Linked DNA regions of Tamandua tetradactyla. The protein of the gene in region 3 purifies or fractionates together with the protein of the main gene of each other region. This does not show direct contact. Links are inferred from orthologs where the notes say so. Each region holds a gene or a part of one and is shown on either strand. Other genes may lie near its edges. The genes, in order: HES1, FOXG1 and TLE1.

What was found.
Region 1: the proteins of TLE1 (region 3) and HES1 purify together in Homo sapiens (affinity purification with western blotting; 4 studies listed by BioGRID and IntAct, with this or other methods). This does not show direct contact. The link is inferred for Tamandua tetradactyla from reciprocal best matches to the Homo sapiens genes TLE1 and HES1.
Region 2: the proteins of TLE1 (region 3) and FOXG1 purify together in Homo sapiens (affinity purification with western blotting; 3 studies listed by BioGRID and IntAct, with this or other methods). This does not show direct contact. The link is inferred for Tamandua tetradactyla from reciprocal best matches to the Homo sapiens genes TLE1 and FOXG1.

What each region holds. Positions count from the first base shown.
Region 1 is NC_135336.1:13,984,059-13,991,223, reverse strand, and holds HES1 (transcription factor HES-1), read right to left. Parts: upstream 3,097-7,165; 5' UTR 2,831-3,096; coding exon 2,723-2,830; intron 2,581-2,722; coding exon 2,485-2,580; intron 2,240-2,484; coding exon 2,152-2,239; intron 1,474-2,151; coding exon 923-1,473; 3' UTR 474-922; downstream 1-473. UniProt on the Homo sapiens protein: Transcriptional repressor of genes that require a bHLH protein for their transcription. May act as a negative regulator of myogenesis by inhibiting the functions of MYOD1 and ASH1.
Region 2 is NC_135340.1:25,907,797-25,915,199, forward strand, and holds FOXG1 (forkhead box protein G1), read right to left. Parts: upstream 3,075-7,403; 5' UTR 3,024-3,074; coding exon 1,545-3,023; 3' UTR 600-1,544; downstream 1-599. UniProt on the Homo sapiens protein: Transcription repression factor which plays an important role in the establishment of the regional subdivision of the developing brain and in the development of the telencephalon.
Region 3 is NC_135328.1:112,657,838-112,665,264, reverse strand, and holds the start of TLE1 (transducin-like enhancer protein 1), read left to right. Parts: upstream 1-4,378; 5' UTR 4,379-5,712; coding exon 5,713-5,736; intron 5,737-6,513; coding exon 6,514-6,614; intron 6,615-7,427. UniProt on the Homo sapiens protein: Transcriptional corepressor that binds to a number of transcription factors. Inhibits NF-kappa-B-regulated gene expression. Inhibits the transcriptional activation mediated by FOXA2, and by CTNNB1 and TCF family members in Wnt signaling.

The DNA.
Region 1 (7,165 bases), on a different chromosome or scaffold from region 3:
TGAAGAGGGTGCAGAGTGGCATTTCAAAGTTTTGAATGCTGGTGCAAGGGAATGTCTGGCTGCACCTAAGGATTAATTAATTAATGAAGACCCTGACCTCTGAAGGCAGCAAGCTGCAGCGGTTGTGTTTCACCTTTGGATGTTGGTGAGCTACCCCAGAATTGTAATATTATTGCAGGAGTCACCCTTACTATTGCGGTAGAGGACAACTGGATTACATCCATTAGCTTCCTGGACTCAGTTCTGGTCCACATTTCCTCAGAATGAGCTGCTATGAGAACAAGGTGAATGACTTAGCCAAACTTAGGTTTGAATCCTGGCTGAGACTGACCACAAATTGTCCAGGGAAGCCCTCTCAGAATGGTTCTTGTAAATTAAATTGAATTGCCTCTCTCAGCTCCTGGAGCACCTGGTTGCTAAGAGGTTGGATGGATTTTTAAAAATATGGCTCTTTTCATAACAAAAGAACCGATTACATGAAAAAAAATCATAAAATTCAAATCCCACCAAGAACCTCTTTTTACATATTCTGAAATAATCAGTTCTAAGACATAAAAGCCTTCACTTTTTTATTATATTTTCTCAAATAAACTTCCCAAAAGGAAGACACTTTAAAAGCATTTTCAAACATCTTTGGCATCACATAAAAAAGAAATCTCGTGTAAAAAACGAAATGTCATTTGAACTTTTATAATACAAAGGCGCAATCCAATATGAACATATAAAATATATACAAATATAGTGCATGGTCAGTCACTTAATACAGCTCTCTACAAAAAAAGTAACTTTTTAGAAATTAAAATCAACAAAGTAACCACTTAATGACAAAAGAGCTCTTCTCTCCCAGAGTCCAAGTTCGGGTTTCGAGTCCAGAGGGAAGAGAGGTTGGTGGGGAGTTTAGCGGAGAGGTGGCTTAAGCCCCTCAGTTCCGCCACGGCCTCCACATGGAGTCCGCCGTGAGCGAGGGGCCGCTGGAAGGCGACACAGCGTTGGGGCCCACGGATGTCCCGCTGTTGCTGGTGTAGACAGGGATGACCGGGCCGCTGTGGGCGAAGGCCCCGTTGGGGATGAGAAAGGCAAACTGGCCGTCAGGAGCCGGCACCACCTGGAAGCCGCCAAACACCTTGGCCGCCTCGCTAGCCGAGCTGCCCAGCTTGCAGGGCGCGCCGCCGGGAGGGGGCGCCGCGCCCCCGGGGATGGGGACGAGCGGCGGCGGCGGCGCGAACGGCGCGTGCGGGGCCCCCCCCGGCCCTGGAGGGGGCGGCGGCGGCGCCTGCAAGGCGGGGTGCGGCTGCCCAGAGTAGGTCATGGCATTGATCTGGGTCATGCAGTTGGCCAGGTGGCCGAGCAGCCGGGTGCGCACCTCGGTGTTAACGCCCTCGCACGTGGACAGGAAGCGGGTCACCTCGTTCATGCACTCGCTGAAGCCGGCGCGGTACTTCCCCAGCACGCTCGGGTCGGTGCTCAGCGCGGCTGCGGGCCAGAAGGAGACAGACGGGGTCACCAAACGGCCCTGGTCCCGGGGCCAACATCTCCCACCCGGGGAGGTCCCCGCGGCGCGCCTCCCTGACCACAGGACCACGGAACTGCCTCCAGCTGGGGTGGATTTAGCAAAACCAGCGACCTCTCCACACAGGCGCGAGGCAATCGAAGTGGAGACTCTCCCTCCCCTCCACTCCCCGACGCTCCACTTAAACCGATCCGAGCCCCAGAACTGAGCTCCCCACCCCCACCCCGCGCGCGTTGTGACCTTGGACAATGCCCACCTCCACCATTCGAGCTTTATTTTACCCTTCAGTAAACTGGAGGAGGGGAAGTGCTAAACCAGATGACCGCTGAGGCTCTAAAGAAGCTCAAACCCGCCACGGTCCTAAATCCTCCCTCTTTCTACCGTCCTCCGCCCCCACCCGCTTCCCCCACATCCAAGCCGCTCGCCACCCTCGCTGCTACAACCTCTTTCCCTCCCTTTCCGGAACAGTAACAACTTGGAGTTGTGGCTATAAATAAACCCCAGACCGTGGGAACGCGAGCGTGAGCCAAGGCAGTAAAATGTAGCTGAATGCCTCTCACAACCGCGAGCGGAAGTCTGGAAGAAATCACCGCAGGGCGAGAGGGACGCCCGCAGAGGGGGACGCAGCGAGCAGCCCTTACCCGTCATCTGCGCCCGCTGCAGGTTCCGGAGGTGCTTCACTGTCATTTCCAGAATGTCCGCCTTCTCCAGCTTGGAATGCCGCGAGCTCTGCAGCGAGAAGGCAAAGCAGAAAGTGAGACCCTGCCATCCGTCTCCAAGGGTTGGAGACCCTCCCTCCAGCCGCCACGCCAATATCCCGGTATCCCCGCGAGAGGCCCGACCCTCCCGCCTCGGAGAACGCGGCGCTGACTGGCAGTATCCAGTCTGCGAGGGGTTTCACCCCTAGCTGCAGAGAAATCGTATTTATTATGAAATGTTTTATTAAATGAATAAAAGCAGTATCCCCCACTTACATCTTTCTTAAGAGCATCCAAAATCAGTGTCTTCAGCTGGCTCAGACTTTCATTTATTCTTGCTCTTCGTCTTTTCTCCATGATAGGCTTTGATGACTGCAGAAATAAAAAAAATCAGTAAGGGCCCTGAATTCCCAGAAGATCTGCCATTTCACCCCTGAATTTTAAGCGAGAAAGGCGCCCCCAACCCCAACTTAATTTCTTGGGCGCTATAGAGACACACAAGCACCGCCCTTACCTTTCTGTGCTCAGATGCTGTCTTTGGTTTATCCGGTGTCGTGTTGACACTGGCTGGGGTGGCAGCCACCGGGGACGAGGAATTTTTCTCCATTATGTCAGCTGGCATTTTCCTTTCTTTTTTTTTAATCCCTAGAGAATTATATTTTTGGAGTCCTTCACACTCAAAAAATTTTTTTGTTTATGTCCCTTTTATTTGAGACTTACACAAAATTACTGAGCAAGTTCTGAGAGTTTATTGTAATATTTTATGGCTACTTGGTTTTCGGTAGCGTTATTCCAGGACCAAGGAGAGAGGTAGACTGGGGATTCCGCTGTTATCAGCACCAGCTCCGGATCCAGTGTGATCCCTCGGCCCTGGCGGCCTCTATATATATCTGGGACTGCACGCGAACGGCTCGTGTGAAACTTCCCAAACTTTCTTTCCCACAGTAACTTTCAGCCAATGGGAGGAGGAGACACGCGGCACCGCTCGTGGACCGCGCCCCCCCATTGGCCGCCAGGCGCAAGGTCTGGTGGCCAATGGCGCGCGCCTGAGCCCGGGGCACCAGAGGCTACAACGTCAATCAAAAGCATTTTAACCCTTCGTTACTCTCCCAGCCAAGCTTTGCTGTAGAGAGGAATTTTCTGCCCTGGTTTTGGTCTAACGTAGTTTATTACTTTTGGGGCTAGGATCTTTGCTCTATATTCTCTTTCCTAATGCCTATTAGAATCTCTTTAACTGATAAAAAGCTTGAGAAATATATATATATATATATATATTAACAGGTTTAGAAGGGTAAAAATAAAAGATTGTATTAGCAGCAGTGAAAAGAAAAGCGGGGCGGGGGGGGGGGGAAGGACGCGTGCAAAGGTGTTAGTTTCTGAAATATCTAAGGAATTTCCCGGTCATAATCTATACCTCTTTAGGGAAGGGTGGGTGGGTGAAAGTCGAGCCAGCGTGAAGCTGGCATTTGCATGCAAAAAAAAGAAAAAATACCTTCCACCTTGCATTTTTACATTTGCAAGCTTATCGGAGCAAAGTAGTTCTTGAATGCCATCCCCCTTCTTTCCCCATTCCTCTTCTGGAGTTGGGGCCTTGGAACCCGCGCTTCCCCAGGAAACAATCTGAAAATTTTCCAAAAAGGAAGGGAAATGGAATTTCAAATAAAAGACGAACAAGGGGGACTTTGCTGGCAATGCCTTTAGGACATGGAAGCACCCTCGCCACTTTTTCCTCCTGTAGGCTCTCCGTTCTGCAGCACGTCGAGGTGGCGGGCGTCCCAGAAGCCTCTTCCTTCCTTCTCAAGGCGGCGGGCAGCCGGGGTCGTCTAGGCGCCGGTGCGCGCGGCCCCTTTAAGAGCTGCACCAGCCGAGATGCAGTTTGACATCAGCCGGCCGGCGAGGGCGCGCCTGGAGCTGGAGCACGTGCCAGGATGTTTTATTGCCGCCGCGGCTGCGGCCGGACCGGGAGGATGTGTGTGTGCGTGCGTGTGTGAGTGTGTATGCGCGCGCGCCCCGGGGGCAGGGAGGCGGGGGGGGGGGGGGGTGGCGGCGGGCAGCGGAGCGCGGGGGCTGGTTCCTGGTCCCCGGGAGAAGCCAAGAAGGTAAATAGCAGCTGCTGTGCTGGAGCCTGGGAAAACCCCGCCCCCCGCGCCCGGCCCGGGCTCATTGGCGCGCGCTGCCTGTGGGGTGTGTGTGTGTGTGTGTGTGTGTGTGTGTGTGTGCGTGTGCGTGTGTGTCCGGGGGCCCCCTCCTCCGGCCCCCGCCGATCCAGGAATCCGAGGGGGCGGCGGGCTGGGAGCCCAGTCCCGGCGCTTTCCCCTGAACCCTCCCCGGCCAAGGTCAGCCCTTCCGGGCGGGGAGCGCACGCCCCAGAGAGGAGAGCAGGGATTTGTTCCAAAACCTCCCCCATCCTCCACCCCCGATTTCGGGCTTGGGGGTTTGAACACGCCGGGCATCCTCGCTTGCAGCAGCCCGGGGATGGGGGTGGGGGGCTTCCTTGTTTGCTTCTTGCCCTGGGCCCCCACCCCCACTCCTCCGCGGGACTCTCGGCGCCCGCCGCGGTCACAAGATGCCTGACCGCACTTAGGAAGCAGCCGGGTCAGCCTCCTGCCTCCGCTCGGCGGCTGCGGTTAAAGCGGCTTCGCGCCGCCCGCCCCTTCTCCCGGTCCAGGGCGGCCGGTGACTCCCCCTCGCTGCGCCCGGAGGCCGCCGGCGGGCGGCCGGGAGGAGGCGGGCGGCGCGGGCGGCTGCGTGCTGCCGGCTGGCCGGGCCGTGCGCCGGGAGGAGCCGCCGCCGCCGGGTGCCACGTGGCGGGCGCCGGGTCGGGAGCGCCAGGGCGCTGGCGGCGGCCTCCCAGGGGGATTTGCCGCTTCTAGCCGGCGGCTCGCACTGCCTGGGCCGGCTGGCCGCCACCACCCGCCCGCCAGTCTGCCCCGGTCGCCGGTCCCCGCGCCCCCACCCTTGAGCTCGACGCGCTGTTCTGGCGGTTCAGAGCACCCCGGGTGCCGAGTGTCCTGTTTGAAGTCGCCCTGGGCTTCCCCCCACCCCTTCCTCCGTCCCGGCGGCCCTCGGAGAAGGCCGCCGGTAGCCTGGCACACATTCTTAACACACTTCATTCCTTCTTTCCTCCGAGCTCCCCACTGAGAATGTTATGATTTCACCAGATCACGTCCCGGATAAGATTCATCAGTTCCTGACTGCGTGACCTTTCTTTCATCGTGGAGCGCACGTTCTGTGCCAGACACTGTTAAACCCTGGGATTACCACGATGAGATACAGAGGCAGCCTGCAAGGAGTTTACAGTCAACTGCGGAGGCCGACTGAAAGTTCCTGATTTTCTGATTGGTGGTTCTGATTGTCTATTACTCCTTTCCTTTGGAGCTTAAAGGAAAGACTAGGAGGGCCCCAAAGAAACACTAAACCACACTATTGCAGTTCTCCCCTATGGGTTACAGGGGTGGATGGGAGAGTTATTGACCTCAGGAAGCCCGCAGCCTAGAGGTACATATACTCTGTGCAGCTGACAGCTCTTGATTTCCCAATATGTTCCTCTAGTAGGTCCTAGGTTCAAGAGAAAGTTAATGTATCCAAACAAGAGGTAAAATGCTATGGAGGTTCAGAGAAATTAAACTGTTTATAAGTTGGGTATCTTGGGAAACTTCCTGGAGGAGGTGGCCTCGCTTTGTACTTTGAAAAATAGGTAGAATTGGGGTGTTGGAAATGTAGGGAGGAGTCATGGCGCTGAGGAAGTGTGAAAGTACCTTGTGGCATTAAAGGCCCAGACTCTGGAACTTGAGGTCCTTATTCAGGGAACTAGATCTGGAGCCCAGGGTCTGTGACAGGCAGGACTACAAGAAACACCTGGAGAAGGCCATGTCATAAGACCCTTAAATGTGTTGATAAAAGACTTTGGGCTTTATCTTTAGATAGTGGAGAGCTGTAGAATGTTTTCGAGCAGAGAAGGGATGTCAAGGATCTCATCTAGGAAGATGGCCCTGGCAGAAGTATGGAGGGTGGAATGGAGGGTTTGGTGACAGAGTTTGGGGAGGAGGTTCCTTCCAGTTAAGTAGATTCCTAAGTGGCAGGTGTAGACTGACCCAGGAAGCACCTGCCTGGAACTGGCTCACCTGAGTATTGACTATGCACTGTCCAGTGATCAGCAAAAACCTGCCTACCCTTTAAAGCAATGTTACCTGTTCCACCACCATCTGGAGTCTAAATAAGGAGTCATTGTGGCTCTGACTATATTTACCTTCCAAGTCTCATTTTTACTGCCAGGAGAGCCCTGAAGTCTGCCGCCAAACCTTTACCTCATTGCAGGCTTCATTTACTCATTCTTGCCCCTTGGGCTGCTCTCTGCGGGATTTTTCGTTTTCTCTTAACAGTACAAAATGGGCTATGCCCTATCTTGTTCGGAAGAAATGTTGAACAATGCCTCCTCTGTTGACTTGCAAGCAGGGCCAATAGGTAGTTCTTATTTTAAACAGATGGAAAAGAGGTGATGACAGAAAATTGTCTGTTGCTTTTGAAAAAAAAGGGGGGGTTTCCCTGTGTGTTTGAAATCTTGGTGAAAGATGAAGAGCCTATGAAGTTACCTTCATTTCTGCCTTGCCCCCAAAACACTTGGAAAATTCTTAAAATGCTTGTACTTGCTGTCTGACTTTTTAAAAAACTACATAATTACACTGACCCAGATTATTCCAAGGCACTAAACCCCTCCCAGAGAAGCATGTTAACACTTTCCAGGTTCCCCTCAAATATGTCAGAGCAAGTGTCTTCCTAAACTCTGCTGTGACACTGACTAGCATCTGCTCCTCAGTGGGCCTTAATTACTATCTGGGCATGTTACTCCGACCCCCCTAGTCTAGGAGACTTAATGTCTCTGGCTCTGTCATCCCCTCAGGACTGGGCACCCTGAAGGTGTGTGGAGAATGTTTATTGAAATAGTCCAGTTAGGGTC
Region 2 (7,403 bases), on a different chromosome or scaffold from region 3:
TATTAGAACTCTCATTGTGGGTAAACAGCCACAAAAATAAATGCTGACTTAGAAAGTATAAATACAAATATTTTGAACAAAAATGTTTGCAGCATTCATAGCGCAAATTGTACCTGAACTGAAGGGCTCTCTGTGCCTATATATATTACATATGTGTGCATTATATTCACTTCTATCTAACCATATACATATATATTTATTTATAATTTGCCAAGTGCTATACAAGATACCTGAAACAAAATATATAAAAAGTAAGCATTCTATGAACTGATTTGAAAATTGAACACAAGGTAAATCGCTAAGCACATAAAATTAAATTATATCTTTTTGCTGTATATCTACAGAAACTTAAAAGATACCAGCTGAAAAGCCTATACTATTTTTCAAGCTAGCATTTATCAAATAGTCTGCTCCTTATAAAGTTTGATTCCACAGTGGGAAAAAAAAAATACTCCTTCCACTTAAAAATCTCAGTTTGAACCAAAGGAGCAGTTTCAATATTAGGTTGGCTGAAAGAGCCTTTGAATTCCCTATAACTTTAATGGGCTTTTAAAAATTAGCTCTATTTAACAAAAGAGACAAAAGTATCAAGATATATATGAATTTAGCCTATTTTTTATTTCTGTGTGTTCATAGTAAACATTTTTGTAAGTGACAAACACGGGCATATGACCACAGTATCACAATCAAGAAATTTTAAGACAACATTAACAATCACTCAAATTTATGCGGCATCTGCGCAACACAGGTTACATATTTGCAAGGTTTACCTATAAGTACAATAGGTATTAACATTTCACTACATTTAGAAAAAATAAAAGTGACCTGTTAGTGACCACATACATCAAAATATACACAACACAAACTGAAGGCAATCATTAATTTTGTCCCCTTCCAATTCATTTGAATGGGCAGTGCTGCCAACTGAAACAACTTTCCTTTGTTGCTGTTGATTTTTGTTTGTTTGTTTGTTTGTTTGTTAATACTTAGAATACCAAGTGCATTTTCTAGAACCCAATCTTTGGTCTAAAAGTAAACAAAAGAAAAAAACAGCTCTTTAAAGAAAAGGACAAAACAATAAATGGCCAAAATAATCTCTTGGGCACCTTTACTATGAATGCTTCTTAAATACAAATTACAGTTTAACATTGTAAAACTCTCCCCATAATTTAGGTTGTTCTCAAGGTCTGGTCCACCATCTAGATCCATGATAACTTATAATACTGCACACATGGAAATCTGGCGGCTCTCAGAGATAGACTCCTCAGGTTTGAATGAAATGGCAAAGCAGTCACTATTTAGATACACGTTCTACTATAATTTTGACTTCCGAACCTTATATTCTACAATGTATTCTCCTCACATTGCACCTCGCTGACACTCCACACCTTGTTAGAGTAATAAACAACCCTAAAGACTGAACAAACGTACAGAAATGGGGGCGGGGGGGGCGCTTAATAAAAAATACCTGGACTTATTTTTTAATTATCATTTACAATGCAAATGTGTGTAAAACGTTCACTTACAGTCTGGTCCCAGGGATGTTAATGTATTAAAGGGTTGGAAGAAGAACCCTGATTTTGATGTGTGAAATAATCAGACAGTCCTCCCGACAGTCCCGTCGTGAAACTTGGCAAAGAGGGTCTTAAAGACTCACAGGGCAGGGTCGAGGGGGCCTGCGGCGACGTGGAGGACGACGCCGCCCGGGCGCTCATGGACGTGCTGCTCTGCGAAGTCATTGACGGGTGCGGGACGTGGGGGAAAAAGTAACTGGTCTGGCCCGCGAGCAGATTGACCGAGCAGGGGTTGAGGGAGTAGGTCCCGGAGCAGGGCACCGACAGGCCGCAGGGCACCGAGGCGGCGAGCGCGGCGGCCGTGAGGTGGTGCGTGGCGTACGGGATCTCCCCGTTGACCAACCGGTCCACGCTCAGGCCGTTGGTCGTGGAGAAGGAGTGGTTGTTGCCCAGCGAGTTCTGAGTCAACACGGAGCTGTAGGGCATGGGGTGGCTGGGGTAGGCCGACGTGGTGCCGTTGTAACTCAAAGTGCTGCTGGCGCGGGGGTGGTGCAGGGACAGGAAAGGCGACATGGGCCAGTAGAGGGAGCCGGCGCGGTCCATGAAGGTGAGGCCGGTGGAGGTGAGGCGCGCCCCGCGCTTGAAGGCCAGCTTGGCCCGCGAGGTGGTGGAGCGGCGCCGCAGCTTGCCCGTCGTGCCGCCGATGAACACGTCGTCGCTCGACGGGTCCAGCATCCAGTAGTTGCCCTTGCCCGGGTCGTCGTAGTGGCGCGGCACCTTCACGAAGCACTTGTTGAGGGACAGGTTGTGGCGGATGGAGTTCTGCCAGCCCTGCTTGTTCTCGCGGTAGTAGGGGAAGTTCTTCATGATGAACTCGTAGATGCCGTTGAGCGTGAGCCGCTTCTCGGGGCTCTGCCGGATGGCCATCATGATGAGCGCGTTGTAGCTGAACGGCGGCTTCTCGTACTTGCCGTTCTTCTTCTCGCCCTCCTTGCCCCCCTCCCCGTCCTTGCCGCCCTCGCCCGCCCCCTTCTTCTCCTCCCCCCCGGCCGCGGCGCCCTTCTCCTTCTCGTCCGGCCCGACGGGCGCCAGCTCCCCGGGCCCGCCGCCCGGCTCGCCCTTGCCGCCCAGTCCGTCCGCTTTGGCCCCGTCCAGGGCGGCGGCGGGCGGCGGCGGCGGCGGCGGGAGCAGCAGCTGCTGGGGGCCCTTGTCGTCGTCGGCGGCGGCGGTCGGGGCGCCCCGCGCCTGGGGGGGCTGCGGCGCCGGGGGCGGCGGCGGCGGCGGTGGGGGCTGCTGCTGCGGCGGCGGCGGCGGTTGCGGGGCGGGCGGCGGCGGGTGGTGGTGATGGTGGTGGTGGTGGTGGTGGTGGTGCGGGGGGTGGTGGCTGTTGTGGTGGCCGTGACTCGCGTGGTGGTTGTCGTTCTGGACTGCCTCGGGCACCAGGCTGTTGATGCTGAACGAGGACTTGGGAATCATTTTCACCTCTTTCCTATCTCCCATGTCCAGCATCACCCAGTCGTCGGGGGGAAACGGCGGCGGCGGCGGCGGCGGCACTGGAGCCGGAGCGGGGCAGCGGCGCGGCGGGCGGCGGCGACCGGTGGGTGCCGAGCGGGGCTCGGGCGGCGCGGGCTGCGCGGGCGGCGGCGGCGGCACTGAGCGCTCCGGCAGCAGCGCAGTTGGACCGCAGGCTCGGGCGCTGGCAAGTCATGTAGCAAAAGCAGCAACCACCCCTCAGGAATTAGAAAAAAAAAAGGGGGGAAAGAAAAAGAGAAAGAAAGAGAAAAAAAGAAACAACCACCGCCCCGGGGGTGAAGCTCCCTCGCTCCCAACTCTACTTCATGGTCTCCCCCCCACCCCCCGGTTCCCCCCCCCCCCTGCTGCTTCCTCCTCCTCCTCCTCTCGCAGCAGCAGTCACAGCAGCAGCAGCAGCAGCCCAAAGGGGGGGAGAGCCGGGCGGCGGGCGGGCGCGTCCCGGAGCGGCCGCGACAAGGCTGGGGAAGACAGCGATCGAGGCGGCTATAGCCACAATTAATTTTCCGAGCTACAGGCGCACACTAGGGCTGTAAAAAAATTTTTGGTTTAACCTTTCCTATCACTGGGCCAATCAGAACCGGCGGCGTGCGGGAGCGTCTCTCCTGCGGTCGGCCAATCGGCGTGCCTGGGCCCTCCCCCCACCTCCGCCCCGCCCGCCGGCTCCCGCCCCCTCGGGCGCTCGCCTCCCCCTCTCCGCGGGCCTCGAGCCCCGCGGCCGCGCCGAACTGCGCAGGGATACGCCGGCGGGAGCACGCTGCGCCGCGGCTCCACGGCGCGGCCCTTTTCTGTGCCCCCTCCACCCCCTCCACCCCGCTGGCTCTGCTCAACCGAAATCCCCCTCTTAGGGCAAAGAGCTCACGTTTCCGGCTTCCTTGTCATTGCACTGGGTCATTTTCGTTATAAGCGTCAATACTGTTTCCTTATTGATTAAAGTTCGCGTCCAGTTTTATTTTTAAAAGCGGGGGTGGGGGGAAGGCAGAGAGTGGGAGCTCCGGGGAAGGATGCAAGAAAAGGGCAGGAAATGGAGGAAGAAGCGATGAGAAACTCTCTGGAGTCGGCTCTGCTGGCCCGGGTCTGGCATGTTTGAGCCCGTAGGGAAATTGTGCCCTTGTAGGTAACATTCGAACGAGGCTTTTGATGGTTGGGAAGGGAAGGCCCACCCCTGGCGTGGGGGGGGGGTCCTCTACCTTGGGGGAGGAGAGTCTAGGAGAGGTTTGGGAACCGTGGGATGAGGAGGAGGAAGCGGGCAGGCGAGTGCGGGGCCAAGCAAGGGTTACTTACTCGGTTCCTGCGGCCCGGCAGCGGCCAACTCGGGGCTCGGGCGCCTCGGGAAAGCCAGGCCTGTGGCTCCCGGCGCGGCGGCAGCGGCGGCGACGGCGGGCGGGGGCGGCTCAGTGGTGGGCGTCTCTGATGGTCTCCCGAAATGAGAGGTTCCCAGAGAGAAAACAAAACCAAACAATCTCGAAATAAACCAGGTAACACATGTTATATATGTGCCTCTATTCCTTTCCTTTCTCTCCTGCTCCACATCGTCGTTCACGCGCGGGGTGACTCGGTGTCTTTTCTTCTCGCCGCTCCAGCTTCTCTTCAGCTTCTAATTCGTATTGGAAGCGAGGTGGCCGCGAGCCATTACCCTGGAAATGTTTTCATTTTGCTCGTTGACATTAGACGGAAAATAAGGGTAGGCGTCTCTTTCTTTCTTTCTTTCTTTCTTTTTTAAATTTTCTTATGTTCAGCCCCCTTTTTTCTTTCCGTTTCTCAAATGCCTTTATTTTTCGCGGGCCTCAATCCTGAAGCAACAGCATCCTGAAACCAGCCCCTTCCCACCCTGGATGCTGCTGGAAGGCTCCTTGGAGCCATGGGAACGTGGGTCTCACAATCTTGGCCTTTGGGGCTGGGAAGGGTTGGTTGAAGGCTGAAATGAGTGGGGAAATTGCGAATCGGGGGGCTTTAAATGGATCCCGTGGCCAGGGGCAGGGCTAAGGCCCAGCATTTCCCAGGGATTGGAATTTGGTGGGGAGTGCACCGATCAAAGACTGTTTCATCCCACATGGGCAGGAAACACACCACGTTTTACAGAGGATGTAGCCTGGGAGGTGAGGGAGGTGGATAAAAGAAAAACACCTTTTCCCTCCTCCCCAAGGTAAATAATCATAAAACACAAGCGTTTCTTCACTCTGATAAACCCTCCGTTAAATTATCTGGCTGGCTTGGTAGTTAAGAAAACGGAGGAAGAAAGATGGGTGTTGCGTGCGATGTTGAAAATTAAAGTTCAATTCTAATATAAGGACTGCAGATCATTATTCCAGTGCCCCCCACCCCACCCCACTTCCATACACCTGAAATCTTGAGAGAGAGAGAGAAAAGAATTACAATTGGCTAGTGACTTTTTAATATGTATTTCAGGGACGCCACAAAGAGCTTTGGATATTAGACCAGATTTAAACAACCTTCCACTGTATGCTTTTTTTTTTCTGTCCACACATTTCCTTACTTTAAAACGCACTATTTACATATGGAAAAATTCAAGGGTTCCTGCAATCAGCTTAGATAGTGACATGGCCCCCCAAACATTGACTCTTAAACTCGGGATTTCTCACCGAGCCCGGGGAGCTAGTGGGCTTGGCCACCCGGTCTGGAGAGATCTGTGGCTCTTCCTCTTCCAGCTCAGCTCCACTCCTCCCACACTTCTCCCCTCCTCAGGCCTGTTCTTTCTACTTTTCCTAAACTCTCTTTCCTCCCTCCTCCCCTCTTCCTCCCTTCTTTCCCCTCCCTCCCTCCACCCTTTCCCCTCCCTCCATCACTCTCCCTCTCCCACCTACTCCTCCCCATTTCTCCCCCCCCCACCCCCCTTCTCACCATCACTTATAATGGCACGCAGGGCTCCCTCTGAGGTGGACGGCCCGGTACGTTTTCGTAGTCGGTCTAGCGTGAAATGATTCGGTGTAACCGGATTCTTGGGAAAGGACAGGTTACGTAAACATTTACTGATGTGGAGTAACTATACTATTTGTACTCTGATATGCAGGAAGGAAAGTGTTGATTAACACAGAAGAAAAAAAAGCGAAATTAGCTGATTGCATGCTCATAAGTGCAAGCTGTCATTGAACTGCTTTTAAAATAGACACAGCTGGGTGTTTGTGTTGAAAAATTTCTTGTGTTTTTGCTAATACTGAAATAAGCATGATTTTGTATACCAAACATTTTCAGATCATTAAAATTTGTAATCTGTGCTGGTTTTAAACACAAAGAAAAGAAACAGCATCATTTCGATGTAAAATTTGCTGATATTATATTAACTCAATCAGGTCTGTACAAATTGTGCATTGTGCCTCCTAAAATCTGTTTGATCAATTTAATACACAAAGTGCCAAACGTGGGTATTGTTTGTTAACATTGGACATTTTATTCAAATCCGAGCTCTGCAGCAAACTGGAGCAGCATTCCTTGAATACAACGCCAGCTCTGCCTGATGAATTTTTAATGTTTTAAGGTGTTTCTTAGGTCAAAGCTGAGAGGGCATTGTTTTGTAAGCCAGTATAAAAAATTTTAGCAGGTGAAAATAAGTTTTTCTTCTGTTTACTTTCAAACAGCAAAAACTGGGGTTTGCTAATGAGAGTTGTAATAATCTGCTTTTATGTGCCAGGAACTTATATTGACTGTGAAACATTTTCATGCAAACCAAGAATGTGCTATATTATTTTAAGGATTGCAAGGATACAGGACACTCAAAACAGGGTATCTGTGTAAGAGCAAATGGTATATAGTTTAATATAATCATATTAGAAATCTATTCTCCCTGATGACAAAGGTCAATTGCCATGTTCAGGGAAGTGGGTTTGAATACCTCCTATTAATTTAAATGCCCTTTATGGTGAGATAGGGCGATATATATATAGTGGGTAGGGTTGTTCAACAAAAGATGCACTGTTTACTCAGCGGCCCACGTTTGTCTCCCCAATGGCTTCTTTTTAGAAATGCTACTTGCTGAAATAGAGGGGGGAGGGGTTCTGGGACTGAGTATTGTGTGAGTTGAAAGTCCTTGGACAGGGCTTTGTACATCCTACCAGCCAATTTGGGGTGCAAATTGGATTTGAAGCCCTGCCCACAACCACATAGGGCCTCTTCCCAAAGCACATGAATCCCTAACTCTGTATTTCTAGCCATACTCAGTCTGTGATTACCTTTAGAAGATATCTAGTTATCTCACATCTGAAACAAATTCTATATTATTTATTTATGTATTGCTTATGATCAGTTTCATCTCTGTCTCTCTCTCTCACACACACACATCTATAAATGTGCTGTTAGTGAATAAAAGCAGAAGTCAGAGCAAATGTAATTTTCTGGTATGAT
Region 3 (7,427 bases):
GGAGCCTCAGTAAGATTAAGTGCTGATTTCTCATTGGAAACCATGGAGGCAAGAAGGCAGTGGGATGGCATATTTAGAGTACTAACAACAAAAAATTGCCACCTAAGAATTCTATATCTGGCGAAAGTGTCTTTTTAAAATGCAGGAGAGATTAAGACATTCCCTGTAAACAAAAGCTGAGGGAGTTGTCAGCACTAGACCAGAATTACAAGAGATGCTCAAGAGAGCTCTGGAGGTTGAAAGGAAAGGACAATAGACAATAGGTCACAGCTGCTGAAGCGATAAAGCTCACCAGGGAGGGTAACAACCGGGTAAAGATAAATGCCAGTGCTCTTGTATTTTTGGTTGGTAATTCCACTTTTTACTTGCTAAAGGATTTAAAAGGCAAAGGTAAAAATGTAATGAGATATCAGTGGTTTTGGACTCATAATATATAAACATGTAATTTGTGAGAAGAATTACATAAAGGTGGGGGACGGTATATACTATGGCATCGAAGCAAATGAGATTGTTATAGATTTAGGATGTTAAATTTTGTGGTGAGTACAAAAAAAAATCAGAGAATATGTAAACAGAGAGACAGAAATTAGAGTGCAAGTGGCCAGGGGTGGAGGATAGAGGGATTGGAGATTTAAAGTATAACGGGTATAGGGATTCTGTTTTGGGAGACAGGAAAGTTTTAACACAGGAAGGTGGTGAAGGTACCACAATACTGCAAACGTGATTAATCTCATTGAATGATATGTATGGGAGGGGTTGGGATGGGAAATTTTATGTTGCATATATGTCTCCACAATTAAAAAAAAAAAAAAAGACAGATCAACTAAAGACACAATGACAAATGCAATACACGATCCTGGATGGAATCAAACAAGCAAAGAGAAAAAACTCATAGGATATTTTCAGGACATATGAAAAAATTACAATATAGAGTCTAAGCTTTAAATCAGTGTTAATTTCTTGAACATGATAACTGCACTCAAGGTGGTTATGTAAGTGAATATCCTTGTTTTAAGGAAATGTACATGGCAGTATTAAGTGGTAAGGGAACATGATGTATACAAACCTATACTCAAGAGTTCATAAAATGGATTGGACAGAAAGATGCAGAGAGGGGACAGAGGAGGGAAAAACAATGACGTGGCAAATGTGACAAAATGTTCAAATTGGTGGACCTGAGTTCTCTGTATGAGGTTTATATTATTTTTGTAACTGTCCTGTACGTTTGAAAGTATTTCAAATAAGTTTTAAAAAAAAATTGCCGGCAATCTTTCTGTTTCTTTTGCAGAGGATAAACAGGGTACTGCTTTTACTTCAGGGACAATTTCCTATGGAAGCAGCACACTTAATATTATTTCTTGTAAAAACATCATCAACATACGATTATGTTGAAGGTAAAGAAGATTATGGTTAACGTACTTCAAATAGATGACTAAAATTATAGATTTCATGAGTAGGACTGTTTTCTTTTAAACAGGCTGTAGGCAATCTGCACATATATGATTTATTTAAAACAGAAGATTAAGGCTACTTGATTGTTTAAACACCATCATTTATAATGCAGTTTGATGAGAGTTTTGTAGTATAATTATTACAGCATGGCAATCAGGGAGAAAATATGACCTTGAAAAGGGCAGAGCTTTCTCCCTCTCTCAAGGAGGATGCTCTGTATGAGACAGAAGCCATCGAAATGAAAAAATATTCATGCAATTAAAGGCTTTCCAATTTTAAATTCAGTATATTCATTCTTTTCTCCACATACTACATTATAAGGAAATCAGAAGGTAGTAAGGAAGCACTGGTCAAAAGAGAAATCCTCAATTTTTACCAAGGCCAAACTGGGAAAGGTGGCAACCACATACGTGTTCTGTGAAGAGCTGTATGACAGAATATTTAAAGTCAGTGTGTTAAAACTGATTTTGAACGGGGTGGGTGGGAAGAGAAGTAGCAACACTTTTGCTACTGCCCCAAAACATGTCATTTTAATGTCTCTGCTTATACTTAATTGCTAGTGTTTACCAGTAAGTTAAGATACCCATCAGGCAAAGCTGGGTAAGTAAGCCAGGGAGATGTCTCAGACTGCTATAGCTGTCCCAGAGTCCACAGGCATTTCTGTGGCACAAAAGAACTTTCTACCCAGTCCTCAGATTATGAGATGAAGTCATCACAGACTGGCCCATGTGGCCCAGCCAGAAAATAGATGAAGATTTCAAAGAACACAGGTTGCCCAAGGACAAAGCTTAGTTCCACATGGATCATATAATTTTAAAAAGTCCTGTATGTGGAGCAAACCTGCCGCTGTCATCACCAAATTAACCACGGAAAGAGAGGCAGTGCTTCTCTTTCATTCTCCAGGTTAGCAAAAGAATAATATAGTCTCCTTCCCAAATTTAATGAGAGCACTGCAAAGTATACTGCCAAATTTAAGAATTTACTACTGCCTTGCATATTGAATAAAACTACTCTATTTTTCACTTGTAATTGATAATTGGGATTGATGCAATTATAGAGAAATCAATGTCATACATATTTTAAAACAATTGCAACTGTGAACTGTATTACTTAAAATGATTCTTTCAATATTTCAGGAAGAAGTTTTCTGTAAAAGCAAATCTTTGAATGAAATACATTTATGTATGTGCTTTCCCATATGTCTCTTAAAAGTAAAATAACATGGGGCTGGCCACGGTAGCTCAGCAGGCAGAGTTGTTGCCTCCCACACCGGAGACCCGGGTTCGATTCCCGATGCCTGCCCATACAAAAAATCAAAGTAAAATAATGGGGATGTAGAAGTTATTGATACCAAAAATATGTTTACTAGGTTCCAATGTTAAGAGAAATGCTTGTCATGTAGGTCCCAATACACACAGTTTCCACGGGTCACATGGAAATAGCTTAACCGTACTGTTCAAAGTATACATTTTCTATGTGATCTATTTAGAGAGACAAAAACTGGGGACTCTTTATTTTACTTACACATTGAGTCCCGTTTATTTAAAAATCTCAAAAATCCCTTTTAACTCAAGTTTCGCTGCGTAAGAATTTTAGCCTCGTCCTTTACCCACGTCTTCCCCTCTGGCTCCGAACACAGATCAGCCCTGGGGTACCATCCAAATTATGGGGGTGGGGATGGAGGTGGGTGGGACAGGTTTTTCAGGTCTCAATGCTGGTTTATTTCATTGTCTCCCTTTGTTCCCAGGAATTGGAAACAGACTCGTGGTCATGTGGCTGCGAGACTCCTAAAACTACGATTTTTTTTCCCCCTCATCACAGCAAAGCCAGGACTTTGAAGACAAGGACCCGAGATTTCGCGCCCCGGGCAGAGTATCGCATCTGCGCTTTGGTACACTCCTGCCTTACCTAGGCATACCTTTGAGAATCCCTCCCGCCAAACGAAGGCAGGCCGACCCTTTGGCAAAGCGATTTGATACCCGCCAATAAAAAACGAATCCTACCACCTTGGGCAAAACGTGGTGGGCACCATGGTGATGTCTTAAGGGCTGGCCTACGCACGCAATGCGTTGACCATTAGGCAGTTTCCACCAGGGCACAGTCCATTCCTTCTCATGCGTTGCTGAAAAGGTAGTCTAGGAAAAAAACAAACCTCAGAGAAATTTTTGAATATGACCTCACATTCCAAAAGGGTAGCATCAAACAAGAGGCTAGCACCGAAAGACGCATTTTAACTCAAAACTACCAAAGCAGCACCCCAATAAGCAACGCGACTAGTTCTTGAGTTACTTTCGTCAAGATCTGAGGATTTTCATAAAAGAAAAAGTGAACAAGTGGCAGCATTTTTGCAAACTGAACAAGTGGCAGCATTTTTGCAAACTCGAACCCCAGTTCGGCGGCAGCAAGCTCGCGAGTCCCCCAGCCCCCCCCCCCCCACCCCGCTCGCGCGCTAAGGCGCGCTCCCTAGGCAGCCCCACGTTACTTTGATTGACAGCTGAGCCCCGCTGCTCTCCTTCCCACCGACCTTCCCATCCTCCGTGCCAATCTCTGAGTCTCGCCGCTTTTCATTGGCTGGCTTCGGCGTCCGAGGCTCCTCCAGGAACACTTCCTCACCAAGCCTGAGAGGACGCGGCTGGGTGGAGGAGGGGTGGTGGCAGGGGAGACAAGGGAGACGGCGGAGATGGAAGCAAGTGGGATGGGAGGGATGAAGGAAGGGACAGCCTGGCTGGCCTTGCGCTGCCATAGGCTCTGGGGGAGCCGCGCGTCAGTACCCCACGTTGGGCACGGCGCGCGCGATTGGCTGACGCGGGCCTTTCTGCTGCCCGAGCCCCGCCCGAGCCCACGTCCCCCGTCGGCTCTGCGCTCGCGACCCCGCCCGTACGGGGCTGGGCGGGGCCGGCTCTGGTTAGCTCCGGAGTGTGAAACCGCGTGTTAATGTAACCGGCGCGAGAGGCGCGGGCGGCGGCGGCGGGACCGGCGGCTGCAGGAACAGCAGTGGCGGATACCCCGTGCCTCGCGCCCCCCAGGCGACCGACTGCGCCACCTCCACCCCCTAAGAAGCCAGGCGAGATCTCCGCCACCAGCCGGGACCTCCGCCACCAGCCCGGACCTCCGCCGACCGGTGGTGACCAAAGCTCCACTGGCCACCGGTGCCGCGACTACTCCGGACTCGCCCGCGGAGTTTTTCCGCCGGGGAGGAGGCTGGGCGGTGGAGTGCATGCCTGCTATTCTCCCCATTCTCTCGTGGATGTCGTCCCTGGGGTCGTGAGAGAACTTTGCAGCGGGCTGGAGCGCCCTTTGCGGAGAGGCAAACGAAGGGAAGGGGAGGACCGAGGAAAGGGCTTCGAAGAAGGGTCCGGAGTGGCTAGTCCGGCCCTTCGGGGCGATCTCGCGCGGGGCGCAGTGCCCTGATGCTTCGTGGGCCCGAGGAGCCGTGGGTGGTTGCGGGGCTGCACTCCACGGAATAGCCCCGTCGGGCCAGGAGGGTTTGTGCAACCGCGGAGGACACCGAGTGCTGGTTGCACGGGGCGTGCCGAGCTGCCTCCCGGCGCGCCCTCCGCACTTTCTCCGCCTCGGCGTCATCCCGTGTTTCCCAGCCCGGGCTGAGGCTGCGCATCGCCGGGCGCGGAGCCTCCGCGGCGATCCGATCCTAGCTGTCCGCGGTCCCCTGGGAGCCCGCGAACGCCCGGCCAAAGGCCCTATAGTTGCCGGGTTTGTGTGGGGTTAACCGGAGGCGCCGCTCCACCTGCACCTCCTCACCCGCCGCCGCCGCTGCGGGGAAAATCCGGAGAGAGGCGGACTGGAGAAAAGCAAAGAAAAGCAGCCCGCCTGGATTTGTTAGCTCGGGACCGGCGCTGCGCACGCTGATCGCCGAGGGGAGCGCGGCGGGAGTCAGTACGCCCTCACCTCCCCGCCCCGGCGGCCGAGGCCCGCCGGTTGGAGCGCAGCCCCCGCGCCCTCTCCCAGGGCGCTGGCGTCGTCGCGCAATTTCTTGGAACAGCTGAGCCCTGGGCGCCCCACGATGTGGCCCTGAGCGCGGGAGCCCGCAGCGGCGGGAGTAGGAGTAACCGCGGGCGCGGAGCGGCGGTGCGCCCCTCTGAGCGCGCCTGCGTGCGTGGTCATCGCCCCCCACCCTTCCGCCCCCTGCGCGCCCCGCTTCTGCTTGGCTTCCTGGCTTAATTTTCCTCGGTGGGATTAAAGTTGGAAATTGAGCGAAGAATTGAGTTGCCCAGGAACAGAGCCGCGGCCTCCGCCAGAGCTATGTTCCCGCAGAGCCGGCACCCGGTGAGGAGCGGCCCAGTGTGTGTGTGTGTGGGGGGGGTCAGGGTGCTGTTTCCCGAGCAGTAGGGAGACGGGCGGCTGCCAGGTCTCCTCACCCCCAGGGGTGCAAAACTGGGGAGGTCCAGAGCCCTGGTTCCCCGGGGTGCAGAGTGGCCTGAAACTCCGGATCCCCCCCCCCTTTTCTTTCGGCCCCCTCCTATTTGACGTCTAGACTGGGTGGAAGGGGGCGCCGGGGGAGGCTAGGGTTTCTGTCCTGGCAGGCACATTCTCCCCAGTCCCCGAGCCCGGGGGGGGCGCCCCCCCTTTTGTTTCTTGTCTCGCTTATTTGCATGTCAATGCGGCCCCCGTTCCGGCGCTCCTGGAGGTGGCCCCGGCGACTCTGGGAACTGAGAACGTAAAGGGAGTTGTTTTTCTTCTCCGGCCCCGGGAGTCATTATCGCCCCTGAGGGGGAGGGGGAAGGCGACGACAACAATCTGGTCTGGTCCTACCCGGTCTTCTGGGAGCTGCCCCTCCCTCCGGCCGGGTGATGTGGGCACACTTAATTACGACCCGCCCTGGAAGCGGTTCCTAGCCTCTTTAGAAGCTGGGGACTGGGGGAGTGTCCTTCTCTCCCCTTCCCAGAGTGAAACGGAGAGGCGAGTTCGGGGCTTCAGTATCCGCCTCTTCTAACTTTATTTTTTGTTTATGTCCCACCCACTTCTCCCTTTTCTGACTTACTGCTTTATGTGTACATCCACCCGCACCCCCAATTCTCGGTGCCCCTCGCTTGTCGCCCCCAGACGCCGCACCAGGCTGCAGGCCAGCCCTTCAAGTTCACTATCCCGGAGTCCCTGGACAGGATCAAGGAAGAATTCCAGTTCCTACAGGCGCAGTATCACAGGTGCGTGTCGGCGGTGGCGGGAGAGTGGTTGTCAGGGCATTGGTCTCTGGTGGCCGCATGCCCCTCTGCCCAGCCGGATGGCGGCGGCTGTACTTAGTACTTGCGTCCAGGCGGTGGCGTGTGGAGTTGCAGTTAAGACCTGTCATTTCAAGTTCCCCTCTTTCTTGGCTCTTCCCGGGCCTCCTCTTCTTCTCTTGTCTCCTCCTCCTCCCATTGTTTCCCTTTTACCCTTTTGCTGCTGTTCCAAAGAATCCTTTTTCGTGTATTTGGGAGTTGCATAAGAACCGTCAATATTTGCACTTAACTTATTTATTTTGCAACAGGCTAGGCCTGAAACATTGATTCAGTCGATGCCTCAGCCCTGGAGTGTGGGTTCCTGGAGGCAAAACCAGTGTTGAAATCACTGTTTGCCATACTTGGGAATTAGGTTGTCTGAGGCAAAGTCCATAGTGGAAGGCTGGCATTTGGCTCTACCCATCATTAGTGTAGTGTGTAGGAGAAAGCACACCTGCTTTGATATCATTCTGGGTAGTTTAGGATAAAGCATGTAATTGGAGTCAATTTTATATACATCTCAGCCTTAGTTTCTTCATCTAAGGACACCTACCTCCCAATTCAAAGGATTTATAAATGAAAATTATTTGCATGGTTCCTGGCCCATTGTAGATTTTCCAGAAATGTTGCTCCTGTTGAAATTAGATGAGGCTAAGTGGTTTGGGCATCAATTTTCTTATTTTTCTGGGGTTTTCTTGTTTTTGACCTATTGTCTACTTGCAGGTGGTATCTCTAGAGCTTGAAGCATACCTGCACACA